Linked DNA regions of Coturnix japonica. Each later gene encodes a partner of the first gene's protein in a complex. Links are inferred from orthologs where the notes say so. Each region holds a gene or a part of one and is shown on either strand. Other genes may lie near its edges.

Region 1 (4,348 bases):
CCATATCTGTTCTCTGTTGTGGCTGTGTGAAGGCTGCCATCAGCCCAGAGCTGTGAGTCTGGTGTGGAGGTGGGCTCACGTGCAGGCCTGACCAGGTCGGCTTCTTTGTCTTCATATAGTTCAGCAATGCAGTCCCATTTCCTCCCCATCCACCTGCTGTGTGCTGTCTGTAACCTGCACACCCATCCTGGGGCGTAAGGCTGTGTACAATGTGATGACCCCACGAGCACTCGGACCCACAGCCCAGACCAAGAGAACTGTCTTTCTTAAGGAGGGGGGGAGGTAGATGGAAGTTGTTCCTGCTGTTCTGCAAAGGGACGAATTGGGGTTTGCTGCCTTTACCTGCGTGTTGAGAAGACTGAGAGCCAACCAAGGCTCTGCTGTTGGTTGTGTAGGCTCCACTCATCCTCTGGAACAAAACCCAGGGCTGTTTGCCACTCGTGCTGGCTTCAGAGATGTCCCAACCCAACCCCATGGCTGGGGATGGCCTGGAGGGGGCTCAGAGCGTGGCCATGGGGTCTGGGCCCCCATCTAGAGGCAAACTATTGTCTGCCAACCACCTTCCTTTACCTTTACCTGGCGAGGAGGAGAAATGCTGAGCCGAGAAACGCATCTCTGCTCCTTCCTGCCCCCCCTGCTCACATTAAACCAATTCTAGCTGACTTTTATTTTATAAGATTCTAATTTTTTGTTTTGTTTTTTTTGGTTACAAATAATAATAATTAAAAAAAAATAAAAATTAAAAAAAAATACAAAAGAAAGTGGCAATATTTTTGTTTTTTTCCTGTCAGCTTTTCCTAGGAAAAAACGTGGCTTTGTAACAAAGTTGTACAGTTCTGAAGTATGAAGATACGAGGAGTCGTGTGTGAGTGAGACGCTGTAAATGGGGCAGAGATTATTTTATGTACAGTCCGACGCAGGGGGATACTTTTAAAATTCCGGTTTTGATTCTTTAGGAAGAATTTTAGTTCTTCACTTTGTCAGGGTTTGGAATTTCATGGTTTTCGTTGTTATGATGATGATGATGATGATATATATATTTTTTTTCTTGTATAGATCGCTGCATTAATTGAATAAAAGCAGAAAGCATCGCTGTGCCGCCTTGTGTCGCTGTGTGTGGGGGGGTCAGGGCCTTACACAGCGCTGCGGCCTAGTCCGCTCCGTGTGGTGAAGCCTGACGGATGAACTACAACTCCCAACACCCCCCACAGCGACGGAGCATGCGCAGCGCGGATAGGAGGGCGCCGCCGCGCCGTGCGTGCAGCCCAGCGCTGATTGGCGGAGCGAGCTGTCAGTCAGGGACACGGCCCGCCCCGCCGCGGCGGTGCCTGCCCGGGGCTCGGCGCGCGGCGCTCGGCGCTCGGAGCGGGGGGGGGGCGGCAGCACCGGGACCGGGACCGGCAGCGGAACGGAACCAGCACCGGGAGCGGCACCGCCGGCAGCGGGAGCGTCTGCCCCGGGACAACCCACCCCGCCCGCCGCCTCCTGGTACCGAGCCGAGCCCCGCCGGCCCCACCATGATGAAGTTTCGGTTCCGGCGGCAGGGCGCAGAGCCGAACCGAGAGCGGATCCGCCACGACCTGTTCGCCTTCAGCAAGGTGAGCGACGGGACCGGGGGGCGACGGGGGGCGGGACCGGCGGCCAACAGCGCTGAGAGCGATCAGGGACCACCGGGGGGTGGGGGCGGCACGGGGGGAACCGGGCAGCGGGAGCCGAGCAGTGTGGGACCGCGGGACACCGGGTGTGTGTGTGTGTGTGTGTGTATGTGTATGGGGTCATACATGTGTGTGTATGGGGTCATACATCGCCCCCACACACACCGAGACCCCAACTGGGCGGCAGCGCCCGGTACCGGCACCCGTGGGGGCTGTACTGAGCTTTGGGGACCCCCGCACACACTGCGATCCCGAGTGTGACCCCCGTGCTGCTGCTATGGACCGGGGGGTTCTGCGGCCGCTTCATAGCGCTGCAGTCCGGTGTCACCCCCGGTGCTGCTCGGTGCCCGCTCTCTACGGGATCCTTCCATCCCTCCATCCCTCCATCCTGCAGTGCTGGGACGTCCCCGACTCCTGGGGACACCGAGCAGGAAAACATTGTCACCTTGGACGCGGTATTCACCCCCCCTCATTGCTCCCCAACGTTTTGGGGTGCCCCAAACCTACAGCAGGGTCTCACCCCTCACCTCAGCCCATCCCACTTTTGGGGTCCCACCACCAGACCCAGTTGCCTCCCCCCCCCCGCCCTGGGGTTGGGGGTTGCTGCGGAAGCTGTGAGCGCCCCGGGACGCTGCCTGCCCACCTGCCTCCCATTAAGGTCTTGGGTTTTGTTGTTTTTTTTTCCTTCCTTGTGAGCTCCAAATCTGCCTCACATTTGCTGTAATTTGGCCCAGTGCTCCTTGGCCGTGCGGAGCGGCCTGCTGCCGGATACAGCCCCGCTTCTGGTGGGAGGAGGGGGCTGCGAGGGGACTGGGTGCTCAGTCACCACCCCCAGCTCCATGGGCATCCCCACAGCCACCATCCCTGGATCCTCGAGCTGCCATCATCCCCTGTAGCATTAGGGCTGCAGGCAGAGGCTTGTGGGGTGGCTGTCCTGCAGTGAGGGTGTTTATGGGGCTCTTGTGGGGTGGTCCCGTCAGACCCCATCTGAACACTGAGCTCAGAGTGTCCCTATGGTGCCACCCCCTGCCCCCCTTTGGCTTTCAGCATCCTGGAGCCAGGCGTACATCCTGCAGAGCCTTTGAGGTGCTGTGTGGGTGATGGGGACCGGCACCCAAACTTGTCCTCAGACTGAGGGCGTTGCAGAACCCTCCTGCAAGGGGACGTGGTGGTCCCTGCTGCCGGGTGACACCGCAGAGCAGCTCTTGGCACAATCAGGAGGTGTCACCCCGGTGCATTTTGATGTTGCAGCCCCTGGGAGTGCTCCCTGCTGTGAAGGTGGTGGATGTCCCTCCCCCGCCCCCCTCCCCAAATGCTGCCCAGCCCCTCCTGGAGCAGCGAGTTTGGGCACACCATCATGGACTTCCTTGGGAAGGTGCCCACGGGGGCTCAGTGTGGTCCCACTTGCCTGGTTCTGTGTGGCACCGCTGGGAACCCCCATGTGCTCCTCAGGGTGCTGCTGTGGATGGGGCTGTCCCCGTGCCTTTAGGTGGTGGGGTTCACCTCTTTAAGGTTAGGGCAGCCCTGGTCCTTTGGTGTCGTTTGGGGTGGCTCGGTCGGTTTTGGGGTGTAAATCCCTGAGGCAGCTCCTGGTGCTGCTGTGGCATCCTCAATGCGTTGCAGGGCCAGGGCTGAGGCAGCTCAGTGCCACCCTGCTGGGCACTGTTAATGCTGCCCCTCCTGCATGGAGGGCTTGGGATTTGTGGGGACTCTGCTCTGACCCCTCTGTCCCCACAGACAGTGGAGCATGGCTTCCCCAGCCAGCCCAGCGCCCTGGCCTACGACCCCCGGCTGCGTGTGATGGCCATCGGCACCAAGGCAGGAGCTGTTAAGCTGTATCCTTTCCTAACAACCCCCCCCTCCAAAAAACAAAACACTGAGGGGGGGCAGCGCAGCCCCCAGCCACGTCCTGGCGGTGTCCGTCCATCCGTCCAGCTGGGCTGCAGCTGTGCTGAGCTGGGGGGGGAGCGCCGGGGGCTGGAGCAGAACGGCTGCCTTGTCCCGAACTGTGAGCCTGGAGCGGTGATTTGGGGGAGGAAAACAAACCCAACCAAAACCCGGGAGCGGGATGGGATGGGATGGGGTGGATGGGATGGATGCTCCCATCCCGGGATGCTGCGGCTGTGCTTTGTTGTGAGCGGGGAGACTCCGCTGTGCTGCTGGCGGGCAGCCAGGGCTGGATGTGGCCACATCGGGGCCCCCGCACTGCAGGAATGTGGGGGGGGGCACTGGGAGGCTGCATCCCACACGGGATTCTTTTTTCTTTCTTTTTTCTTTTTAAATAATTTTGTTTTTGGAGGGCAGAGCTGCCCCGGCTTCCCTGCCTCCATCAGCTTGCTGCGTTCCTGGCTTGAAGATGGCATTTTAGTGCCAGGGCTGCTCCGATCCTGTCCTGGTGCCATCCTGGCCATGTCTGTGCTGGTTCTGGTTCTGGGTAGGATGCTGGGGGACCATCTCCACCCCCAGCAATCTGTGTCTCCTCAGCAACCAGGGGGTCCTGGCACTTGGTCCCCTTATAGTACTGCACTGCTGTGTGCTGCATAGCCCTAGTGCTTATTGCCCATCAGCGTGTTTTAGGGATGGTGTGTTGAGTTCCACTGGGAGCCCTTTGGTGTTGTGCCGTGGGTTGGTGAGCAGCGCTGGGTGCCATCGCCGTGCCCCATCCCAGTGGGTCGGCGGCTGCCCTGGGGCTG
Region 2 (3,808 bases), on another chromosome or scaffold:
ACTAACAATTGAAAATACCCAAACAAAGGACCTTTTCTTGTCCAGAGCATCAAAGATAAATCCAATCTAAACCCAACATTCCAGAAATATCACCTCTTAGCATAGTACTGAAATAAACCATGCATCAAAAACAGATTTTTTCCTTCACACGTTCATTCCTTGCAAGTGATACCACTAACATCGTAAAATAACACTTAATCATCCTTCTCCAAACTAGGATTCTTACCCACTGATCACAGATTTTGTTACCTCATGACTCAGCACTATAGTTAACCCATCCATACCAAGCCTACAAGGAGGAGACAACAGACTTTCTGTACTAAGAATACAACCAGCTGATGAATTTGTCTAACTCCTTCAATGCTTTATCAAAACATCTTAATTTTTACATTACTTACTCATCATCTGGAGTGAGCTGCACAGGTTCATTGGTGAACTGGGAATCAAAGTTATCCAGACCAAATTCGCCAGATATATTTGGTTTAAATGGAGGCACCACTTGCTTTTGCTCCATCTAAGAACAAACACACTTAGTGACATCAAGAAAGAGTTATGACCCACAGAATTATATTTAAATAAGGCCAAAAGTTACTCTCAAATTCATTCCATATTCTCTCTAAAATACTCCACTGTACTCAGTGCATGTCAAAGAGGTTCTGTATTAAGACTGTAGTAAGCCAGTTAAGGGCTTAAGGTTTTATGAAGCTTTGTGGCATCTCTCACAATCAGAAGTTGCCACATCACCGCTGTACACAAAGCAGAGTCCAGCAGGCATTCACATACCAGATCCCAATCAACGTTGCGAAAAAATGGATGTCCCTGGATATCTGCAAATCCTGTCTGAGGGTGGCAGCCCAACCGCTCCTTTGGGTCCTGTGTAAGAAAGTATTTCTAAATGAGAGCCACAGCCTACGTATGAATAAAAGCATTGTTCCAAATTCTGTGAGAAATCATGAATTATCAGGAGTTCTGTTACGAGGTGCACTGAAGAACAAAGTTCGTGTTATTTATTTTGAAAAACGTTTCAATTTACAGAATATACAGAAGTCCAAACTTGAATAATATATAAACAACCACCCCATCTTCACTTATTTTTATTCAAATGGGTTTAAACATTTTGAAGCAAGTGAATTTGATTCTTCCCCTCAACAGGCAGCTTGCCTATCCAAGTTGTTTTGAGACAGTAACTGCAAGCTACTGATACATACAGCTGAAAGATTATTTTAACACTTCTCTCCACTAGGAGGCTGTAACACAATGCTCTCAGTAGAAGCAGAAAGAAGGAAATGAGTCGACTTTAAGAGGACAGCTCTGACAAGTCCCTTATTCAAGGGAAAGAGCTTCTCTGGTTGTTTATAGATGTCATACTACCACAACTAAGTTACTAACAATGTAAACGTCTTTAGGTACCCAGATAATGTGCTAAGCCTGTTCAGTTTTCCAAGCTAAAGAAATTATTTAGAACATTTCTAAGCCTTTTAGTTTGAAATTCACTTCCAGCTCCACAGCAATAATCTAAAGCTACAGATTCAAAGACAAATATTTTAAATAAGTTTCCCAGCCTTGCTAAAATGTTACAGGATTACACCTTCTGTACCCTCTTTCTGTGCACAGCAGCTAAGGTAGATCTGCTACACATCAATTAGTCCACAACAAAACAGCCACTCTGGAGAAGTCAAATCCTCTGTTTCAGTTCTTACCTTATTAAGGAAACTCTTTAGAACACCTGCGGCTTTAACAGAAAGGGATCGGGGAATTCGGATCTGCTTTTCCAAAATTACTGCAAGAAACCAGCGTTTATATCAGCTTTCACATCTTTAAACATAGCTTAAAGGTAAACAAAGTACTGAAGTATCTGAACACTCATGGTACTTACCTTGAAAAAGGTAGTCTTCTGTGTTCTGATCAGGATTGTCAGAACTTCCAACAATATCAAATGGAGACCTTCCTGCCATCATTTCAAACATCAATACACCGAGTGCCCACCAGTCTACACTGAAGCCTGGAATTCATAAGAGAAAATACTGATAAAGAATTTTGAGAGCAGAAAAAAAAAAGTCTTGCTGTAGTCCTAAAAATGTTTAGAGAATACTTTTAAACGAATTATCGATAGTGTGATTATCTAGTTTTCTATTGACTAGTTAATAAAAGAGAGGTAACAGCAGTAAACAGACATTACGTGGTTTGTTATGTGAAGGATAGGAGGAAATTCTGTACAAAGAGGAAATGCAAAACCTTTAAAGGGTGACGTCATAGCCTTAACAAAGTCTTAGATTACACATAGGCTTAGTCATTGCTAACCAACAGTCTGTTAACTGGGGAAGGACAAGAAGGAAGTACATGATTCTTAACAGTAGCAAGACAGTTCTTAGTCTATTATGCAGTGCTAAAGAAAAGAATTCCAGCAACTTAGGCTGAGACTGTTTATTGTATAAAACTTGTGAAAGGAAGGATGGACAGACAGATTTAATGTTAAGCCAGACAGAAACATTCAGTTAAGTTAGTGTATGTGCACTTCTACCTCTATTGGTATTTGGTTGTTATTTTGGTTTTGTTTTTTGTTGTTTTCTTTTTTAGTTGGAAATAATTATGGAACATTTACAAATCTTGAGGGAAGAACGCAGACCAAAGATCTGCTTCACACACTACTGGAAGTTAAGGAAGAAAGGATAAGCAGAAGAAACATACACAATAAACTGTACTCTTATCCCGCGTTTCAGGAGCCTTGTGGACTTCAACATGCATTTGCATGGACATTTTCAGTTTTTAAACACCAAAATTTGTGAAAGGGACATTCATTACCTAAGCCCTTTGTAATACATGTATTATATCACTACTGCCAAATACAAAGCTCCAAAAGTGAACACAAGGCAAGCAAGGGTATCTTTAAGAGTATATAAAACAGTTATAAACTATAATGAACTTAGAAGACCCATGCTACTCTTTAAGCTTGTTAAAAACAAGATAAGAGTGCAGAAGGTGGGATATCTGATTTGTTTGTTGTGATACTTTCAGCCTTCCCTTTGAAGGGTCCATTCACACCATGTTATCTTGGATGGGTCACAAGTCTAACAGAATTCCACTGCTAAACAACTTGAGCAAGAAGCTGAGATAACTGAAAGTTACATGGTAGACACATGGTAGCAGTGAAAAGTTTGAATTACCATAATCTTCTCCTCGAAGAATTTCAGGAGCAATATAGTTTGGAGTTCCACAGAACGTGCTTGTTGTATCGCCAGGCCTCAGCCCTTCCTAAACAAACAAACACCACCACTGTCAAAACAAGCTGTGTGTAACTCTCTCCCACCACATACTTTCTAAAACTTTTACTTGCCTCCTTTCAATCACAAAACAAAAAACCCTCTAAATTCCAGGCTGGGACATATTATTTGCTACACAAAAGCAGGTTGCAGTTAACATCTCATGAGGATGGCTTGTACCCACTGACAACAGTTCTTTAACCTTTCAGCTGGTCAACTCCATAATATCTCCAGTAACAGGAAACTGGGAATAACTGAGAAGTTGTGGAATGGTTCACATGCATAAAGAAATGCTCAGAAGTTTCACCTTTTTGAGTCTCTGCTTCTTTTAATTGACAATTAATCTCTGCTTCTTTAAAATGACAATTTCTTAATTGTTGCTTTTACTACTTAGGAAGGAACTACAGCTTACCTTGCACATGCCATAATCTGTGAGTTTAATATGTCCTTCAGAATCTAACAGCACATTGTCTAGTTTTAAATCTCTGTAGATTATGCCTCTTTCATGTAAATAATTCAATGCAAGGCTGATTTCAGCAGAATAAAAC

Evidence for each region.
Region 2: the proteins of LLGL1 (region 1) and PRKCI are in contact, whole or in part, in a cryo-EM structure (PDB 8R3Y), measured with the Homo sapiens proteins. The link is inferred for Coturnix japonica from reciprocal best matches to the Homo sapiens genes LLGL1 and PRKCI. Residues at the interface, in NP_004131.4 of Homo sapiens: Ala315, Asp319, Glu367, His391, Ser392, Ala394, Thr396, Glu453, Cys483, Glu484, His485, Phe506, Asp507, Pro508, Tyr509, Ser510, Asp511, Pro513, Gln518, Lys519, Lys569, Ala600, Val601, Thr602, Leu644, Gly648, Pro649, Leu650, Ser651, Arg652; in NP_002731.4 of Homo sapiens: Asp339, Met341, Gln345, Arg348, Leu381, Asp382, Met399, Thr412, Phe413, Cys414, Pro417, Leu425, Glu445, Gly449, Arg450, Ser451, Gly457, Ser458, Ser459, Asp460, Asn461, Pro462, Asp463, Asn465, Thr466, Glu467, Asp468, Tyr469, Leu470, Phe471.

Annotation. Positions count from the first base shown.
Region 1 is NC_029529.1:5,074,332-5,078,679, forward strand, and holds the start of LLGL1 (lethal(2) giant larvae protein homolog 1), read left to right. Parts: upstream 1-1,315; 5' UTR 1,316-1,517; coding exon 1,518-1,598; intron 1,599-3,392; coding exon 3,393-3,490; intron 3,491-4,348. UniProt on the Homo sapiens protein: Cortical cytoskeleton protein found in a complex involved in maintaining cell polarity and epithelial integrity. Involved in the regulation of mitotic spindle orientation, proliferation, differentiation and tissue organization of neuroepithelial cells.
Region 2 is NC_029524.1:17,526,774-17,530,581, forward strand, and holds part of PRKCI (protein kinase C iota type), read right to left. Parts: coding exon 3,673-3,808; intron 3,253-3,672; coding exon 3,165-3,252; intron 2,003-3,164; coding exon 1,877-2,002; intron 1,781-1,876; coding exon 1,701-1,780; intron 874-1,700; coding exon 784-873; intron 515-783; coding exon 399-514; intron 1-398.